Struthio camelus: one gene and its partner. The protein of the gene in region 1 purifies or fractionates together with the protein of each later gene. This does not show direct contact. Links are inferred from orthologs where the notes say so. Each region holds a gene or a part of one and is shown on either strand. Other genes may lie near its edges. The genes, in order: DHX15 and SNRPA1.

Evidence for each region.
Region 2: the proteins of DHX15 (region 1) and SNRPA1 fractionate together in Homo sapiens (co-fractionation; 3 studies listed by BioGRID and IntAct, with this or other methods). This does not show direct contact. The link is inferred for Struthio camelus from reciprocal best matches to the Homo sapiens genes DHX15 and SNRPA1.

Annotation. Positions count from the first base shown.
Region 1 is NC_090945.1:67,271,324-67,281,198, forward strand, and holds the start of DHX15 (ATP-dependent RNA helicase DHX15), read left to right. Parts: upstream 1-6,227; 5' UTR 6,228-6,500; coding exon 6,501-6,568; intron 6,569-9,875.
Region 2 is NC_090953.1:4,274,313-4,283,398, reverse strand, and holds the start of SNRPA1 (U2 small nuclear ribonucleoprotein A'), read right to left. Parts: upstream 4,052-9,086; 5' UTR 3,972-4,051; coding exon 3,890-3,971; intron 2,917-3,889; coding exon 2,769-2,916; intron 2,243-2,768; coding exon 2,164-2,242; intron 1,252-2,163; coding exon 1,205-1,251; intron 464-1,204; coding exon 361-463; intron 1-360. UniProt on the Homo sapiens protein: Involved in pre-mRNA splicing as component of the spliceosome. Associated with sn-RNP U2, where it contributes to the binding of stem loop IV of U2 snRNA.

The DNA of each region.
Region 1 (9,875 bases):
GCTCACCAATTACAGAGAAGGATATGATTACAGGGTATGCTATGTAATCTAATAGCAACAACAACAACAACAAACTTGGCCAAATGTCTGCTCTTAACTCCTTTAAGGGTTCTTCTACAGTTTTCAGATTATACTAAAATTATTATTCCCAGCTGTGATGCAGTGATGACACACTAAAAAATGACCTCACAAGGCCTGGGCTTTATGGTAATAAGCCATCAAAAAGAGGAGGTTACAATCCATTTTGACACAGCTGGATAAATTTAAATCCAATTTCAGTGCTTTCATTGGCTGTGAGGACTGTTCTGCAAGGGGACTTTTAACACAGTTGGTTAGAAAAAACCCTGATTGTCTGGGAGAAGAATAAGGAAGCTAAATTGTTGAAAAACTTGGCCCAGCTGGGCAAGCTATGGAAGTTGCTGTTTATAGTTTGCTACATCGTGTTTCTAGGATATGATGGATTTTTATTCTGTATGGTTCTCTACTGCTACTATTTTGTTATATAGTCTGGGGCTTATTATGAAGATAAGGACTAGCTGTTAACACTTTGTACATTAATAACCCATCAAGTAGAGGTTATTACGTCACCTATTTCGCACCTCAGGAGCTTTTGTGATTTTTACTTTTTGGAACTTTGTATATTCTATACAGGCAATAGAAACTAAGCCAATAACAAGTGTCTTACACTTACACATATACTCAGCGTGAAGCTGTACCACTGGTAGATCCAGCATGCCTAACCTTACGCATGGATATGAGTGTTTTATAGACTGTATTAAAAGAGAGGACTTTTAAAAAGTCTTAAGGAGCTAACTCAATAGTGAATAAAAGATGATTGTACTGAATACAAAAGGAATGAAAAGTATATACCAAGATAATGCATTTTTTCCCTTTGTGGACATGAAATACTTGCAAAGAAAAAGCAAGAAAGAATCAAACTTTCACAAAAGAAGTGCTCCTACCAAAACATGTAAATTCAATGTAGAATCAATGTAAATTAGATATATAATCTAGTTTACTCAGTGATGATATTTTGCGTTTATGCCATCACTTCAGCTTAAATTCAGAGTGCTTAAAATTCAAAGTACTTAACAAACATCTACTCTTGCAAGGTTTCTTTGAGTGGACTAAAGGTGACCTAAGGTCTTAGCAAATGACTGAGAGCGGTAGGATAGCAGGCAGTTGTAGGCAACAATATCTTTCCTTTTAGAGAATGGGTTTTTTTTTTCAAAAGTGAATTGTCCCTCCGGTTGAAGTTCTAAGAGATACAGCTACTTTTAAAAACACTTCTTAAATAACATTAGAGAATGTGCACTTTATAGTTCAGGCTGCAGGGAAGGGCGGGTTAAAATTCAGCATTTTACTTTCTTATGTCTTTACTTGGTGGTGTCTCTTTCTGTTGCACCCATCCAGTGCACAGTCTTAATTTTCTCAGAAGACTTCAGGTACTTGGTTACATTTTTTCTCTTTGTAATGCTACCCAACTAAGATAGAGGGGATGCCATTGGGCTGGTGACCTGGCATCTATCCCTTTATGAAGAGATGCATATTCCTCCTTGGTGAATGAGGTATGGTAGCTTACCTGAGTCATTTGCTTCTGGTGTTTAAGGTAGCTTTGATAGCCGGAAGTGATTTTTCCCATCTGTGCTTGCACAGTGATTGCAAACTCTCTCTCTTTTTTTTCCTTCTTTGTGAAACACTACTAAAATCATCCTGACCTTTTTGACCTCCAAACTGAATTGATGTGATGTGTTCTATATGGGATGATGTTTGATGACCGTTCACAAATTTCAGACAGTATCTTACTGCTGATAAAGTCAGCTGTCATGGCAGTGCTGCTAGCTTCCTAAAGTGTACTTCTCAGAGTAATTCAAAGTTGATTTATATATATTTGAAGTGTTGCAAAGTTTAGTTTCTGTAATTACATAGAAGCTACCTCTTTTCTTCACTGCAGAAACTGAGATCATTTGATGTATTCATTTTCATATTTTTAAATTTGAAAAATTTGGAAGTCTGAGGTCTTTAAACATACTCTGATTATGGGCTCTTGTCTGAAGTATTCTTCTGCTGATATGACAGAACCTAAGGATAAGCTCCATTTACTCACATTAGGCTTGGGTGGGGGGAGGGCAGAAGAAGAGCTTGTCTGTAATGGGTGTTTGTATTTAAGGCTCCTGGGTATTTTACTAGGGGCGTTACCCATGTATATATTTATTTTTTAAAGCAGATTGCAGTGACAATTATCAGGACTACTTCCAGGTTTAATATTTTAAAATTAGTTTGCAGGAACTTCTTTAATATTATGTGTTATAGATTTTTTAAAAGATGGGTTAGGCTTTTAGTTGTTTTTAAAAAGCAAACCATAAATAAAAGTACTGGCAGAGTAAGTGCTGCTATAGCATAGGGAGCGTACAGCCTGTAGCTTTGAGCCTACCTCCAGCCAGCCATACAAGAAATATATACTGCAGAGGTTGTAGGGGTCTAACACTCAAGCTTTAGCAGACTGAACCTCCCTTAGCTGTCTGCCCTGCGATCCTGCTCGTTACTACTGCCAGCATTGCAGCAGCGAAAGAATAAGATGTGTGGATTCACTTCAGTTGCCTGTTTTGGCTTAAACCACTGAGGAAGGTATATTTCTACTGAAATGCTAGACTGGATATATCATATTTTCCTGCCCTTTGTAGACTTGGCAATCTCTAGCAAATGAGTGAAACAATTAGCTAGCGGCAGTAATATCTGAAATTGTGACACCTAAATCTGCCACACTTCTCTGTCAGAAACCGCACTGGTTCCAAAGTAGGTCTCTGATATAAAGCTTGTCTAAGACTCACGATTAGTCTTCCGGGGTGAACGCAATGCACAATCAGAATAATATAATATTTTAGAGATAACATTATTTTCCTAAGTCACTGTATCAGTTTTAGACGTTAATGCTCCTTCCAACCCAAATAGCACAGTAAGTATGCCCACGCTCAAAGCACTCTTCTCACTGGAAATTGCCTAAGAAGATTTTGATACCAAGGAGCATGCATTGTTTAGCTAGGGTAATAGATGGAGAGTTAAAGAATAAATGGTCAAATGGCAACTAATATAAGCATCTCTTGTTTCAGTAATCTAAGATTTTCATTCTTATAGATGAATATGAAAGACTTCTCAGGGAAAAAAAAACAAACTTGCATTTAACAAATGCCTTTGAAAAGGCAGAAAATGTGCTTAAATGTGCCCTATTTTACACATTCCTTTCATCCTTTAGGAATTTAATGCTTATCACTTTGTCATTATGTGTTTCCTGATCATTTTTTTTCCTACTGTCTCATCTTATATTTAGACTGTGATCCTGTAAACACTTACCTACATGCTTAATTTTGCTACTCTTAGTAATCTCTTTGAAGTCAAAAGGATTATTTGCATTAGTAAAATAAGGCATGTGTGTGCTTGCAGGATGAAGGCCTTAGATTGCAAACTCTTTGGGATAAGACCAGATTATTTATTATGCAGTCATACAGCTCAAAGCACAGTTGAGTGGAGGTTCTGTTCAGGTAGCTTGGAAATACGTTAATACATAGATAATTAGTACGTGGGATATCAGCCTGGGCATAGCAGTCTAGTATTTGCTGACCCCAGCTGACACACTGGATCTTTCTCCCTTCTTTTTGCACTTGCTGGGGAGATTCGGCCACAAGATCATTTTCAGGCTGTCATATCTGCTGAGACTTCCTCTTGTACCGCCTTCTAAAGCAGAATCTTGCCCTGGTGTTGGCAGCGTGGTAACTTGCAGCAACACCTTGAGTGGCTTTATGCTGCTGTTCATAGGGAGATGCTGTGCATAATCAAGATGTGGAAGAGTTGCTGTCTTCCGAGAACCACATAGCGCTGCACAGTGGTAGCTGCTCATCCCATCTAATACATATAATGCTTTCCTCTTCCTCTCTTTTTCCATTTTCCAGGGAGACACAGCCACTGCATTGTTTTTTGGCTCCCTTCTCTGATAAGCTAATTGTCTTCTCCTCGGACACTCTATCTCAGTAATCGTTTGTTTAAGACAGCCATCATTTAAAAGCCACTTTGTGAGATGTGTAGAAAGCCTTCCCTAGCTGCATTCTGTGAACACAGCTCTGTATTCTACCAGAGCACCTCAGATAATCTTGATATTTGGGATAGAGACTACTGTAATACTTATCCTCTGGCAGCCTCTAAAATAGGTTCCTCTTTCATTTTTTTGTAATGTAACTTGGAAAATGACTCCTGGCTTTGCACGCAAAACTCGAGATCAAGGTCCAAGAAATATTTATTTCAGTTGATAATGCTAAGCAGGAAAATGGTATTTTCATTATAGTGGTCTCTAGAACTCTAGCAGAGATCAGGATACCATTTTGTCATATTATCCAAAATTAGGAACAGGAATGCTCTTCTACTAAAGAATATACGGCAAGAACTAACTATTTTAGTAGTTATTCTGATAGAACTCCAGAAAATCTTCGGGACATGAAGCTATGGATAAACATTCCCTTGCTGAGCTAGCTGTACTACTAGGTCACTGCTGCTGGATGCTCCTTTCTGACCACTGCCAGGTTTGCTAGCAGAGCTGTTATGTGAATGCTCCCTTGCCCTCATAGTCAGATAGCGTTAACAAAGATTTAGTATTTAAAATATCTGAACTATTCTGACTGCTTTTGACCAAAATGACTGGGGAGTGCTCATGCAAGTAGTTCAGTAATGGTTGTAGTAATCTCTGGCAAGAAGGTTGTGAAGGGCAACGGGGAGCAAGACTTGCAAAGCACATGTCTTTCAACACTTGTCTAGGTGGAAAGCTATACCAATAGCAGTGCTTTCAAACTGCATCTTAAAACTACTACTGATCTAAAATATGAAGTTAAATCTCTAGGAAGGTGCTGGGGGAGCGTGAGATAGGGCAGGACGAGTGGAGATGGTGTCCAGCAAGTGATGTTATCTCTAGATAGTGACTGGATATATCAAGAATTGTACCTCTTAACGAAGCTAGAGTTAAGAAGTTAGAGATGGGCTTTTATGAGCTATGGTAAAGTATCAAGGGACTGCACTTGAAAGCTGCTGAGACCTAGCGCTGAGATAGAGCAGGAATGGCTTGAAGGAAGTGGGTGTGTGGGAGCAGAGGTGGGTCAGTCAAGCACTGAGTGTGCTTCTACCAGCATGGGGGCAGCCTGCTTTCTGATGCCTTGGTTGTTACAGGCCTCTCAATGTTTGCCTGACTCCACCTTCTCCTGCCCAGGCTCATCTGTGCCTGCAGTTAGAGTACAAATTCTGTATGTGTGGATGGTTAACCCAGTTCTTAAAAAGTGTGTGTGCAGGCTAGCAGGTGAGGAACACAGTTCAGGGGCACAAGAAACAAGTCTCTTGGAGCAGGCCTGAGCTACAGGCTTCTGCTGGCACTTCTGCCAGTGAAAAGTAATCATTACAGCTACGTGCAAAAATCTGTAACTATACCGAGAAAATAGCATTTTCACTCGTGTGTTATTTTGGTTTTAGGATTTGTTCTACTAAATGCCAGTGTAGCTGTGCTCACCCTTAGAAAACTTTGTCACAGCAGACAGGTCCTCTGGGGTTTGTATTGCAAACATGGGATTTCCTTGTACTGTATCTTCTTGCACAGACACCAAAGACAAAGCACAAGAGAAAGTGGCAGAAACTAGCAACTCTGTTTCTGGGTCTCTGAATGGCACTTGGACTTTTCTCCCAAAACATACTTCTAGTAATACCTACCTTTGATGTCTGAGTAGTTAAAGATGTGAAGTAGTAAATAGTATGTGCTTTTATAGCTTGCAGTTTAGATGCCACCGGTTTTCTAATCATTTCTGCTACTGCAGATGGCATGTGAAGGATCATACTCTTCCCCACCCAATGCTAGGGAAGTCTGTGGCAGCCTAAAATAGGTGTTTGCCAATACAGTTATCTGGTTTAAACACCCTCCCGGGAAACGCCTGTCCCAGGGCACGCGCGCCCACAGGGGCACGACCGGCTGGGAAACGAGTTTTGCTCTCAGGGCATCAGCAGCAGCACCCGGGCTGCCGGACCCTAACAGGGCGCTGGAGCCGCTCTGATGAGCTAGGGAAGGCGCCTGGGCCGCCCAGGCAACGCTCTCCGCCGTTTCACCGGCAGCGGGGAGGCCGGACGCCGCTCGCAGCGCCGAGCCGCGGCCGTTGCCCCGCGGCAGCCGTTAGAGCGCCGCGGCCGGGGGCGGGGGTGGGGCCGGGGCGGCCGTTGCAGGCGGACCCGCCGCGCGCGCGCCCGCGCCCGCCCCGCCCTCTCCCTTTCCGCGGGCGCGCGGCGGCTCGCGCCAGTGTCTCGCGCAGCCCCGGCGCTTCCTTCCGGCCGCCATTTTAGTTGGTGTGCCTGGCCTCGCGGCGCCGCCGCTGCTGCTGCTCGAGGAGCGGAGAGCGCCCCGCCGCACCCAGCCCCGGCCGCCCTCCCGCCGCATCGCGCGGCCGCCCGCCCGCCCGTTCCTCCGGCCGGCCGCCGCCGCCATGTCCAAGCGCCACCGCCTAGACCTGGGAGACGACTACACCTCCAGCAAGAAACGCGCCGCCGACGGGTGAGGGACGGCGAGGCCCGGGCCGCGCGGCCTGCGGCGGGTGGGAGATTACGGCGGCTCCCGCGTAATCGTCTGCCCGTCCTCGGCTCTGGCCGTTCCCCGCGGGGCTGGGCCGCCTCGGGTCGCGGGGCGGCCGCGGTGGGAGGTGGAAGGAGGGGTTGAGGCAGCGGAGGCCGCATGGCGGACCCCCCGCGCCGCCGCCTCGTCTGGGCAGGCCCGGGAGCCTCGGCGGCTCCCTCTGAGCTCTGGCCCTAGGCCCAGGGTCGGCCTTTCTGGCGGGACCGGGCCCCTCGGCGGGACGGGGGGGCGGATGGCGGCAGGGTGATGGCAGGGAGCGGGCGGGGAGGGCCTCGTGCGGCGGTGCTGGGAGGGGGAAAGAGAGGAAGCCGCAGGCCTAGCCGCTTGGGCGAGCTGGGTTGGGCTCGCGTCGCGGCGGAGCCGGGGGCGGCGCGCTGCTCGGCCCGCTCCCCAGCGCCCGGCTTTGTGTGCGCCTCTTTCATCTCTCCTCCTTTCTCTGTTTCTCTGTTTTTTTTTTTTTCGTATGTCTCACCCTCTTTCCCTCCCTCTGCCCCTGTTTGTTTGTATCCTCCCGTCTGTGGCTTGAGGGGTCTGGCCAGTCTGGTCCTAGAGGTCAGCGTGAGGCTTGTTCAGCCTGTGTAACTAGTACCTAAGCTGGCAGAAACATTATTCCTTTGTTAACAGCTTTAACTCAGTAACCAACAGGTGAATGGCAGATTTAAACTAAAAGTCGGTGTGGGGTGGGTTTTTTGGGGAGGAGGGAAAGGAAGTTATAACTCCCTCCCCTAAACTGCAGGAACTCGAACAGTGGGCTCGTGCTGTCCTTTCGTACACAGTGGTTTCAGTGCCTCCACTGAATCTCCTTTTGCCCCACTTCTGTGGGGGACTCTTAAAACAGACTTCTGGAATGTAAAGGGCCAGAAAAAAGTATTCTGTTTTATCTGTCTGTTCTTTTGGTGGTGCCCAGAAGACTTTCCTGAATTAATTCTTTCCTAAAGTCCAGCATCATTGTTTTGGGCTATGACATTTATCCTAGAAAAATAAATGCCTTACATTGTTTACAAAACTGGTGATTGTTAAAAATCAGCCACAGCAGTTAGTGTTCATTGATAAACTGTCTTTGCTGTTGAAATAGAACTTGCATTTTCTTTAAGTGTGAACTTGAGTAGCTTGAATTTTTAGCTACTAGAGTTTGATATATTTTCATCAGCTAAAGTGAAGTGATTGTTTTTATTGAACATCTGTTTATGTATGTAGGATCACCATAATCTATTTTTTTTTTAATGAAATGGATTGAGCAGCTTACCTCAAGGTGTGTTCCCCTGATTTTTCAAAAGCTAGTATAGCTCTTTGTGCATGCAGAGAGTCATACATATACAGTTTTTTTGTATATACAGATTTTTGTAACATCTTGAAATGGTGACGCCAAAACTTGGCATAATTTGAACCTAGTACAATTGATATTGTTGTGTAGATGATCGTTATTAGTGTTTCCTAGTTTGTATGTTGTAGGGTTGTGGGTTTTGGTTTTTTGTTTTTTGTTTTATTTTTGGTACTATTTTTATTGAGTATCACTATCACTCTGAAGCCATAGTCTTCCCATTTGGTATATGCTATAATTGGTTCCCAGCAGTGGTATAACTTTTTTACCACAAGTGTTTGATCTTTATTACACCTTTAAAAAAAAAAAAAACCCTATATAAGCTCTGGTTTTGTGCTCCTTTTGCCAACAAAAGCATTAAATGGCATGAGACCAAGAACCAGTTGCTATAAGCAGAATTATTGAGTATGATTATTACTTGAGATCTTAATTCATCTAACACATGCCATACTAATCTTACATTGTCCTGATTTATCCATAGGGTTGTTAAGTTTTACAGGTTATAGAGGGCTAAGGGATATGCAGAGAGTTTCTTGTTAATAGCATGTATTTACATATCTTCTGTGCAGAGAGCACCTTTATGCAATGTAGTTGATTTTAGAACTGGATTAAGCTAAATTTGAAGTGGCATGTATTCAGGGAGCTAATACAGAAATAGTGATTGTACCTTACTGACTATCTAACTGTAATCTAAATATTGTATCAAGATACCCTGTATTTTTTTACCTCCTTTTTAATTGAGGTCACGTACTAATATGTGCACTTTTGCATGGGAGTGCTGTCAGGCCAATAGGCTTGTAGTCGCCCATGTAAACTTCTTGAGTATGGGCGCAATATCTATTTTCTTTCAGCCTTTATGTATCACTGTTGAACAAAAAAAACTTCTTGAAATATGTGAATTGTATGGGAAGTCTCTGGTTACAATGTTGCTATGTAAAGTATGTTAGTGTCTAAATCTGCTAATTTTTTTCTAAGCTACTTCAGTAGCTGCATAATATCAGAGTGCTTGTGTGAGTGGGATGTATCACTCTGACTTACTATACCTTCTGTTTTCATACATACAGAACAGAATTTCTCTTTTAACTCTGTTTTTTTTTTTTTTTTGGATGAACTGCAGACTTTTGCAAGTGTCTTTTTAGTAATGAAAGAATAATAGTAATGTTCTATTAGAAATGTTTAGGCTATTTAACAGTGATTTGTGGTTTCACCTTATGTCCTGTGTTTCTCTTTTTGGTTTAAGTGCTTTTCATCTTATGACTTAGTGACTGTTATGTTTCTTTTGTATCTGTATGTATATGTATGTATTAAATATGTGAAAGCTGATAGGTGAGACTGCTTACAAAAAAAATTGGTTATGGAATTGGAGTTTGTGAGCAAGATGAATTAGATTAAATCAAAATCAGGCTTCTCTAAGATGATGAAGAGTAAGTTAAACGTGACCGTTCTTAAATGAAGAATTATCAAGTTGCATTTTACAGGAGGTTCAGTAAGTTCATATGACACCTTAACATGTCCAGTATATATCTCACCAAAGTCTGAGTGATCACTCCTCAAAAGATATGAGCTAGAATTCAGTTTTGTACTTTAGTCATTAAAATGCTCATCTGGAAGCACTCTTTCACTTACTTCGAACTTGTCAGTGATGAGGAAGCAGGCAGCATCTTTTTGGAACAGAACATCATTCCCCTTTTCCATGGTTGATCCCAGAAGTCTGGATGTGTCTGCCAAGTTTTAGTAATACCAAGAGGAGATTGGGAAGCCCTTTTAGGATAAAAAGTGCTGCTGTAGAACAAACCAATAAATGACCAATGAATGTTAGAGAGTAAATTTGAGGGCATGTTGTATGTCATGTTTTTCTGTGCTGACATGTAGTTGCCACATTTCTATCTTTCTTAAACCTTTTTGAAA
Region 2 (9,086 bases), on another chromosome or scaffold:
AGCCTAATAATGCTCTTAGAACTCTTTCCCACACTAACATCCTCATTTAAAGCAGAGTGTTGTCCTGCGATGTCTCATTCCTTTCCCTAGAGGTCTGTCTTTCTACCAGCAATACTGGATGGCCAGAGAAGAGTCAGACTAAACGATCAATGGTAGTAAGACATAATTAAACAGATTGTCTCCTTAACAGAAAGAAACCGTAAAAGAAAATGAAATGCATGTTTTAGAGCCACGTGTGATACCTAGTTTTGATACAGTTTACTACAATGGGAAAAAAACTTATTGTTACCACTGAAGTTTCAAGACTGTAACAAGAAAAAGGTCTTCATCTTGTGCCGAATCAGAAGACAGCAGACTTACTTTGAGTTTCACTTTCTGAAAATCCAGCACTCTGACCTGAGGAACTTTGTGGATTACATACAATCTGTAATGCTTCTTATTTGTTACAGGATTCCTTAAAATGCTACAAAGTAAATAAATATTATAAAAAAATTCTTATTACAATAAAAGTTATTTATATTAAAATTTATTAATATACCTAAAATACATTAACGTACCTTCTGCTATAAGAGACAATAAATAACGTCATTAAATATGCATAGGAACAGTGTTCTCTGATATTATGGAAACTATAGTGAAAACTTGCACTTAAAGGTTTAAAGTATTTTAACAATTAAGTGGATTTTGCTGCAGGAGAGCATAAAGAACAACCTCAAAACATCTCTAAAAATACAAATAATGAATCCCTCACACTTCCTAACTAAACACGAATCAATAAAACAATCGTAGGATTGACAGATGGGGGTCTTTTTTTTTCTTTTTGTCTCTCATGCTGAATGTAATGTTACTCACTGAAAAGTCCTTGCACTGAAAACTCACCTGCATTTTAGAGTACTTGTAATAACAGTTTAAAACTGTAGTTTTTATTTTTTCAAAGCTGAAGTTTACTGCAGTGCTTGTCTATCAGTTTATAGAAACGTAACATCTCCTTCTCATCGTTTTACAGTCTGTCAGTAATATACAGTCTTGCTCATGAAATACCATGTATTCCTGAAGTCTAGGGGAAAAGCTGTTCATTGATTCAACTTTTAAGCATAAAGAACCTGTTCCAGCCCAGAAAAAGGAGAGCATTCCAGATTGAAATAAAGAGCTAGGCCAATAGGGGAGTACAGAAAGAATAGCTTTTCTTTTCAAGATTACATACCTCAGATAAGTCAACGTTTTAATAGTTGATAATGGATCCAGTTCACCCTACATAATGGGAAAACAGTACGAAACCTTAAATCCATTTAATGAGAACAAAGTCCTTAAAATTTTAGCAGCCTTTACTCTGACACACAAGCAGTGACAAAAAAAAAAACCCTCACATTCATTTCAAGCTTACTTTTTGAAAACACTGGCAAATAGAGGAGTATTTGTACTACTAGATGTGACAACTCTACTAAGTCAATAATGTTTCAAGTAATTACACTGTACACAATTTAAGACAGCCAGCTGCCCTTAAGAGTCTTGACTGCCACTATGAAAAACATACATTCAAAAAATATGAAAGAAAAGAAACAGCAACAAAGTAAGCTTCAGTCTTAACGCGGAAGTAAGAGATAGAAAACTGTAAGCAGACATACTAGCTATTAACTCTGTTCAAATTCTACATAAAAGACTCAGATCTGCCTAACTTTTGTGAGTATAACAATGCAGTTACAAAGAAGTTACACGAATGCTCTTTGTTACCTATTATGTAACTCAAAGGGAGACTGTAAGAAATACTGTGCTTGAGATTCCTACTTTGGTATAAGTGACCTGAAATAAGTTTTAAAAGAGTATTTCACTTTTTTTTTTGAGAATCAGAAACTTTCCTTCTTCAGTTCAAAACTAGAGCTAAAAATATTTAATTACAAAGTAATGAAATCTCTTTTCTCAAAGCTCTTCCTAGAATCTCATATCCATTTTAGAATTACTGCAATTAATTTAACAGGAAAGCCACTAAGATTTTGAAACTACTGTTCCACTGCATGCCACACATCATATTCTGTAAAATAAATACATCACAACTACTACTAAAATGATATGATATTTTTCTAAATAGAGGAAAAAGGTTATTATAAAGATGGCATACATATATAATTTAAGGTTGTTAAGATTCGTTCAGTACTCATAGCTTACCAATTCAGCAATGTTATTGTTGGTAAGAACGAGCTCCCTGAGACAGGGTAAGGCCTGTTCAAGTCCTTCACCGATCCGACTAAGGGAGAACAGAAACCAAAGGTTTATTAAGGTTGGAAACTAACAACAGTGCAAAGACGCATAGAAAGACTGTAATCTAGAGTACCTAATTTTAAAACAACCAAGTCTGACACTATCAGAAGTTTGGGTTGGCATCAACATAAAAACATTAGATGCAACATATGCACGCACTTGCAGGTATCCCCAGTCTCCCTAGGACAGCTTGATTTATTTTTGCTATCGCCTAAGCACAGGGATGACAAATGAGCTCCCAAGTCTCTGGCTCTGGGCAAATTCCAAGTTCTACCTCCTACTGTCCTGTCTGAAAGACGAATACTGATCTTGGACAGATTTTTGCAATGCACGAAGCAGGCAAATTGAACAGGCCTTCAAGAGTACTCCGTGCTGTTGGGTGCCAATTTCTTTCATTGAAACAAACAGGTCTTCTACAACCACCCGCCACTGAAAGATGGACACACACTCGGGATTCTTTGCTTCCCTAGAGCATTTTCCACTGCCCATCTGGCTGAAGTACAACCACTTACCAAATTCTGTTGTTATTCATCAGAAGAGTTTTCAGCCTTCTCAACAGAGGGAACCCATCCAGTTTACGGATCTCATTGTCAGAGAAATCAATTGCATCGAACTGGTCCAAAGTGGCACCCAAGTTCTCAATAACAGGGATTTTATAACCTTGGGGAGAAAGCGTCAGACAGGGGTTAGATGGCATCTGGACAGCACAACAAAGCAAAGGTCCCTCTGCCCCATGGCCCCACCACCGCCGCCCCTGCAGCCCCTCTGTCCCACGGCTCCCGCCCCATGATCCCTCCGCCCCACGGCCCCCGCAGTTCCTTTGCCCCACAGCCCCCACCGCCACAGCCCCTCCGCCCCACACCCCCCACGGTTCCTCTGCCCCACAGCCCCTGCCACCCAGGCCCCTCCGCCCCACACCCCCCACGGTTCCTCTGCCCCACAGCCCCTGCCACCCAGGCCCCTCCGCCCCACACCCCCCGCGGTTCCTCTGCCCCACAGCCCCTGCCACCCAGGCCCCTCCACCCCACACCCCCCGCGGTTCCTCTGCCCCACGGCCCCCGCCACCGAGGCCCCTCCACCCCACACCCCCCGCGGTTCCTCTGCCCCACGGCCCCCACCACCGAGGCCCCTCCACCCCACACCCCCCGCGGTTCCTCTGCCCCACGGCCCCCACCACCGAGGCCCCTCCACCCCACACCCCCCGCGGTTCCTCTGCCCCGCGGCCCCCACCACCGAGGCCCCCCACCCCACACCCCCCGCAGTTGCTTTGCTCCACAGCCCCCGCCTCCACAGCCCCTCCGCTCCACAGGCCCCACCGCCACAGCCCCTGCCACCGAGGCCCCTCCGCCCCACACCCCCCGCGGCACCACCATCCCACGGCTCCCGCCGTTAGGGCCCCACGGCCCCCGCGGCCCTTCCGCCCGACGATTCCCGCCGTCAGGGCCCCGCCGCCCCACGGCCCCCGCCGCCTCCCCCCCACAGACCCCCCCAGCCGCACCTGCCACCGCCGGCCCTGACAGGCCCCTCCCCCCCCCCGCCCCGTTACAGGCCCCGGTCCCGCCGTAGGCCCCGGCAGCCCCCCCAGGCCCAGGCCCTCCCGGCCCCGGTCCCCCCCCCCCTCCCCGGCGCGCACCGCGCAGGTCGAGCTCGCGGTCGCGGACGGCGTTGGTGTACTGCGCCGCCTGCTCGATCAGCTCCGCCGTGAGCTTCACCATCCTGCCGCCGCCGCCGCCGCCACGCCGCCGCCGGCCCGCGCGCCAGCCCCGCCAGCCGAGCGCCGAGCCCGCGAGCGGGCAGCCCCGCCAGCCGAGCGCCGAGCCCGCGAGCGGGCAGCCCCGCCAGCCGAGCGCCGAGCCCGCGAGCGGGCAGCCCCTCCTCCACCCCCAAGATGGAGGCCGGGGCAGGGAGGCCTGCGGGGCTCGGCAGCCACCGGCCCGCCGCCTCCTCAGCGCCCCCGCGGCGTCCCCCCTTTCCCCGTCTCCTTGAGCACCTCGCGTCCTTACCCGCGCTCCCCTCTGCTCGCAGCGCCCTTCGTGCGCCGCCTCCTGGCGGGGCAGCCCTGGCCGCCGGGGCCGCTGCGGGCTCCCGTCGGCGCCTCCTCGGCCCGGGCCAGCGATGTCCGGCCGCCGCCGCCTTCCCCCAAGCCTCCGCGGGGTCCCGCTCCCCGCCAGGCCCGGGGCAGGCCGGTCTCCCCGGCGGTCTGGTTCCCCTTTGGGGCAGGGCGAAGGGCAGCCGAGCTGCGGGGTCCCCCCAGACGCCGAGTCGGGGGGCAGCCGGCCGCGGCGCCCGGCGCTTTCCCGGACGAGCGGGGAGCTTGGCTCTGCTGGGCGAGAGGGGAGTCGCCGCGGCCAGCGGCGTCCCAAAGCGGCGCGAAGCCGCTCACCAGAGCTTCCCGCCCGGCGGCTGGCGTTTCAGGGCACGGGGTGACTCGGCGGAGGTCCAGGCCTCGCGCCGGGGACCGAGTTGGCGCCTCGGTGTTTAGCCGGCGGCGCTGCGCTCGTGGGAACGTACGCTGCTCCCTTCCTGCTCAGCAGCCGGGACAGCGGCCCGCGCTGATTACAGCGCCGGGTGTAATTTCTCTCCTCCGTCCAAGCGGCAGCACCAGCCCGCGCTCCTGAACGCAGGGTTGCTCTTAAGTGCCTGCGGGCTGCGGCGTTCGCTGTGGCTGCTCTGGCGTTTCCACGCACCTTCCTGCTCTCACCAAAGCCAGGTCGGGCTGGGAGCACCCCGCGGGATGCTCTGCCCTCGCCTTTGAGACAAAACGCGCTTTGCACGCCTCGCCGCCCCATCCTGCCCTTAGCTGCCTTAGGGATTTGGAAACCGGTGAGGAAGAGCTGGGGTAGCCCCCGGGCTCTGCTTGTTGCGGCCCCGTGCAGCGAGCCGTGAGGGCAGCTGCCGCGTTGCTGAGTGCCGGACCTCTGGTCCGACGCGGGGCGGCTGCTCTTACGCGATGAGGGGACGGTGCCCGGGCCGGCCGCGTGCCTGCTGCACCCTCGGGGCCTTCCCCGCGCTTTCTCCTTCGCGGAAACGCCGCCCTGGTTGCTGTTCCCCAGCGCTGCCGGCGCAGCTCTAAGGGTGACCCGGGCCGCTAGGTCCGACCTGACGCTGGGCTGGCTTAGCGCTCCCGAGCGGCGCCAACTCCAGCGGTCTGGTGCAGGTCTCGGCTGCCCCAGGCCAGTCCTCTTTGAGCTGGGCCTTTGCATCAAATCCGCCGTCTGGCAGCGGGAGAAGGCGGCGCGGGAAGGGAAGTGGTTGAGCAGACCCCAAATCCTGCGGTCATGCGGCCACCGCTCCTGCGGCCCCAGGGACGCTCCGACCCTCCAGGCTCCCTGAGTCAGGTGAGGCAGAGTGATTTCTGCATCCCTTGCTATCTAGGGAAGGATTTTTTCACCAGCTGTGACATTTCTGTGAACTCGGGGGATCTGATAGCGGGTTAAATGCTGCAGTCACGTTTGGTACCACACCAGCTCTTCTTTTGGGAGCCTCTGGCACCCTCAGCCCGTGCGTGATGCCTGGCTCGTTCCCCCTGATTACGGCGTCAGAGCTGGCTCTGTTCGGGCTGGGGTCAGGCAGCTCCTGTGCACCCTACTTAAAACAGCCTCCTTGCTATCTGTAACTGATGCTATTTAGGAGAACGTATAGTCAGGTGTTCATAGCATCTGCATTTCCTCAAAATACGTTCGGAGAGAAAGAGCAAGAGAGATGTCATAGGAAGAAAGAAAGAATTAGTGGCACTTGTGGTAGGTGACTCAGGAATCACGCAGTGGTAAAGACAGCACAGTCTTGAGTCATATCAGGCACTCATTAAAAGCAGATTCAAGCTCCTGAAAAGCAGGTCCTGCCTCTGACAAGGCTAAACAAAATGTGGACCTTTCTGCCGTAGCGCTGTGTAGCTGTATTACACCTCAGCCTTGCAGCTGCTATAGGCTGGAGAGCAGAGAGGTTCTTGGCTTCAGATGCTGTACACGAGCTCTTAAAAGCCCCTTCTTTGTAATGGAAAGTCAAAGCAATGATTTTTAAGATGTGTGTTCCCCACTTGCTAGCTATGAAACAGCAGAGGGCTGTGGATGCGCCCTCGCAGCCAAACAGCAAACGAGGAGTCAGGCTACTCTAAGAGGTTTTTCCAGAAAACAGCTATTATAGATTTGTCACTGGTGCCAAGAGACAAGAGAGAAATGTGCTTTAATAAATTGACTAAATAGGCATTTATCTGGAAGACACAGCCACTTTGATCCTTTGAGCATACTGATGTCAGAGGGACTTTAATAGCTCTGAGCAAACACTGCAATAGCTTGGATAAATAATCTGAATTTTATTACTTTCCAAGAATGATTTCTGAGGGAGTTAGATAATGCCCTGGGAAATACTGGAAACTGATTTTGTTGTGTAAGCCAAACTGTGCAGAATTTGGTCCTCTTGGCACTGTCCACCATAGACTGGGATTCATAAGGGCAGCGGAAGCAGGATAAAGCTGAGACCGCTGGGGACCGGTCATCTTAAATTGCATTGCTTCACCCAGTATGTATTTTAAGTTATGCCAAGGATGTAAGGGTAAACATCTTTTTTCTTTTTCTTTTCTTTTTTTTTAGCATTTCAGTACATCTAAATATACCACGGAACAGTATTTAGAGGCAGCCACTGTGAGCCAGAGAACTGAAAGCCAAAGCTGACACAGTACTCTTCATTCACAGCTCCCATTTCTGACTGTATGACACAGCAACAGAATTAGAAGTTTTTCATTTTACAGCCTAAATGGCAGAAGCCAGAAGCATTTCACGCCACTTCTGACCTCTGGTTTGGCCCAAGACCAAAAGCGGGATGCTGGAGCAACAGAAAGAATCAGGATATGCAGTAAACCATCTCATTAGTTCACGCTTATCATCTGATAAACGTGAAGAACTAGAAGACACACAAGCCCACAGCAGCACAGCTCAGAGAGCACCTTCCCTTGTGGGGGGAAGGTTCATTTATTTTCTCTCTTCACACCTATAAGGCTCGATTCCAGATACCCAGGGACTACCCTGGGCACCTGGCCCCCGATTAAACATTGCAAAACCAACACAACAAACAAAAGGCTCCAGAGCTCCCTGCACTCCCTGACACCAGCATCGCCTCCCCTTTACCAACTAGCGGAAGGGGGAAGGTGGGCCCCGAGGGCACCAGCTCTGTGCTGGGACCAGGGATGTGGCGGGGGCTCGCGGGGGCCGCGGATGGGTGGGAAAGGGGAGCGAGCCCCTGTGGCAGCCAGCCACAGGCAGAGCACTGCCTGTGCCGACAGCCTGCGATGCTCCGTGCGGGATACAGCCCTCCGCGGCTGCGGAGCTCGGGCTGATCATGCAATATCAATGCTAATAATGAAGCAACGACAGCGTCAATACTACTTGAGGGCTCTGGAGATCTGTGACTACGGGGGACATTCAGGAGGTGCATTTCTTCTGAGGGTAAAAGACCTTTATGAGAATAAACGTGTCTAAGTTTTTGCAGATGCAGTTCATAAGCAATCTTGCCCACAGATGCTCTGGGGCCGATCAGGAGCTCTGAGCAGGACAGCTTCCTTGTCCAGTAAAATAAAGACACGTGGTGCGTCACAGCCTTCACCTGCCTCTGGTCAGGGTGGTGGCTGCGCTGAATTTGGAAAAAGCACAGATTCCTTTGTAAGGGGAGATCAATAGTTTATTAACTTAAAGGTCGGTTCACCAAAGCTCCATCTTTACTTGGTTCTGGTCCACTCGGGTTAGGACCGATGACAGTTTGGCTCTCCCCTCTTCACCTGGCCGAGATAAGCTCTAGTGGGCAAGCCCAGGCAGGGTGCGTATCGTTGCAACCAAAACCAAGCAGGGATTATCCCAGCTCCATAAGGAACTGGTGATAGTTTGTACTGTGAATTTCACTGGCAAAAGGTTTAACTTGTTAAAACTATTAACAATGAAAATCAGGTCATGCAGCAGAGGAAATAATTGTTTACATATGTCTAGTGAAAAGAGCATCTCTGCAAGGTTGGAGAGAGGCTGGAAAGAGCAGAAGGACGTAAGACAAAAGATTCCCCACTCCCCATACAAAAAATAATCTACAGAGAAAAACAAGGATTGTATAAGTTATTTTTTAAAAAATCTGTAAAACAACATAGCCAAGGATATTTTAAACACAATTATATAAACACCACATGATGTACTATTAAGAGAGAGCATGAAAAGGTTTGTTTTGTGAGAGGGTTTTGTAGAATTTAGAGTTTCCTGGCTGGATCCCTGGAATATCTCCTTTCGGAAACAGATGCTCAAGAAAAATCACTGCCATGAATACGAGGATTTTTTGAGGGAGACGAGTATTCCCACCAAAAATACAGGAAGGATCATAATACAAAATACTGGAAGATATTAATTAAGAAACCATCTCACTTAGCTCAAAGAGGAAGGATCTAGCTCATTTCAGAACTTAATCTATCAACAGCTTACTAGCAGTTTCAGAAGGGAAATACATTTAGTGATAAGGCTGGGATCCCACAGGCTGATCCATGTGGACGAACCCCCCCGAGTCCACAGGACTCTGTGTAGGCACAGGGGTTTCGCCTGTGTGCAATAGCACGCTGAGCAAAGCCCCGATGGACTCGCTGGGCTAACAGGCCTGCAAAGTCATTTAGATCAGCTCTTGCTTCGGTCCTCAAATCTCCAGCTATCGCCATGCTCGTGGCCAGAGAGAAACAGCTAACGACTGAATCTGAAAAGGGGTGCCAGAGCTGCCTTCAGAGCACCGCTCGGGCAGACTACCCAATTCATCGTTTTACATATGTACAGAACACGGCGCGCTGGCTTTTGGTAATGCGGATTTGTATC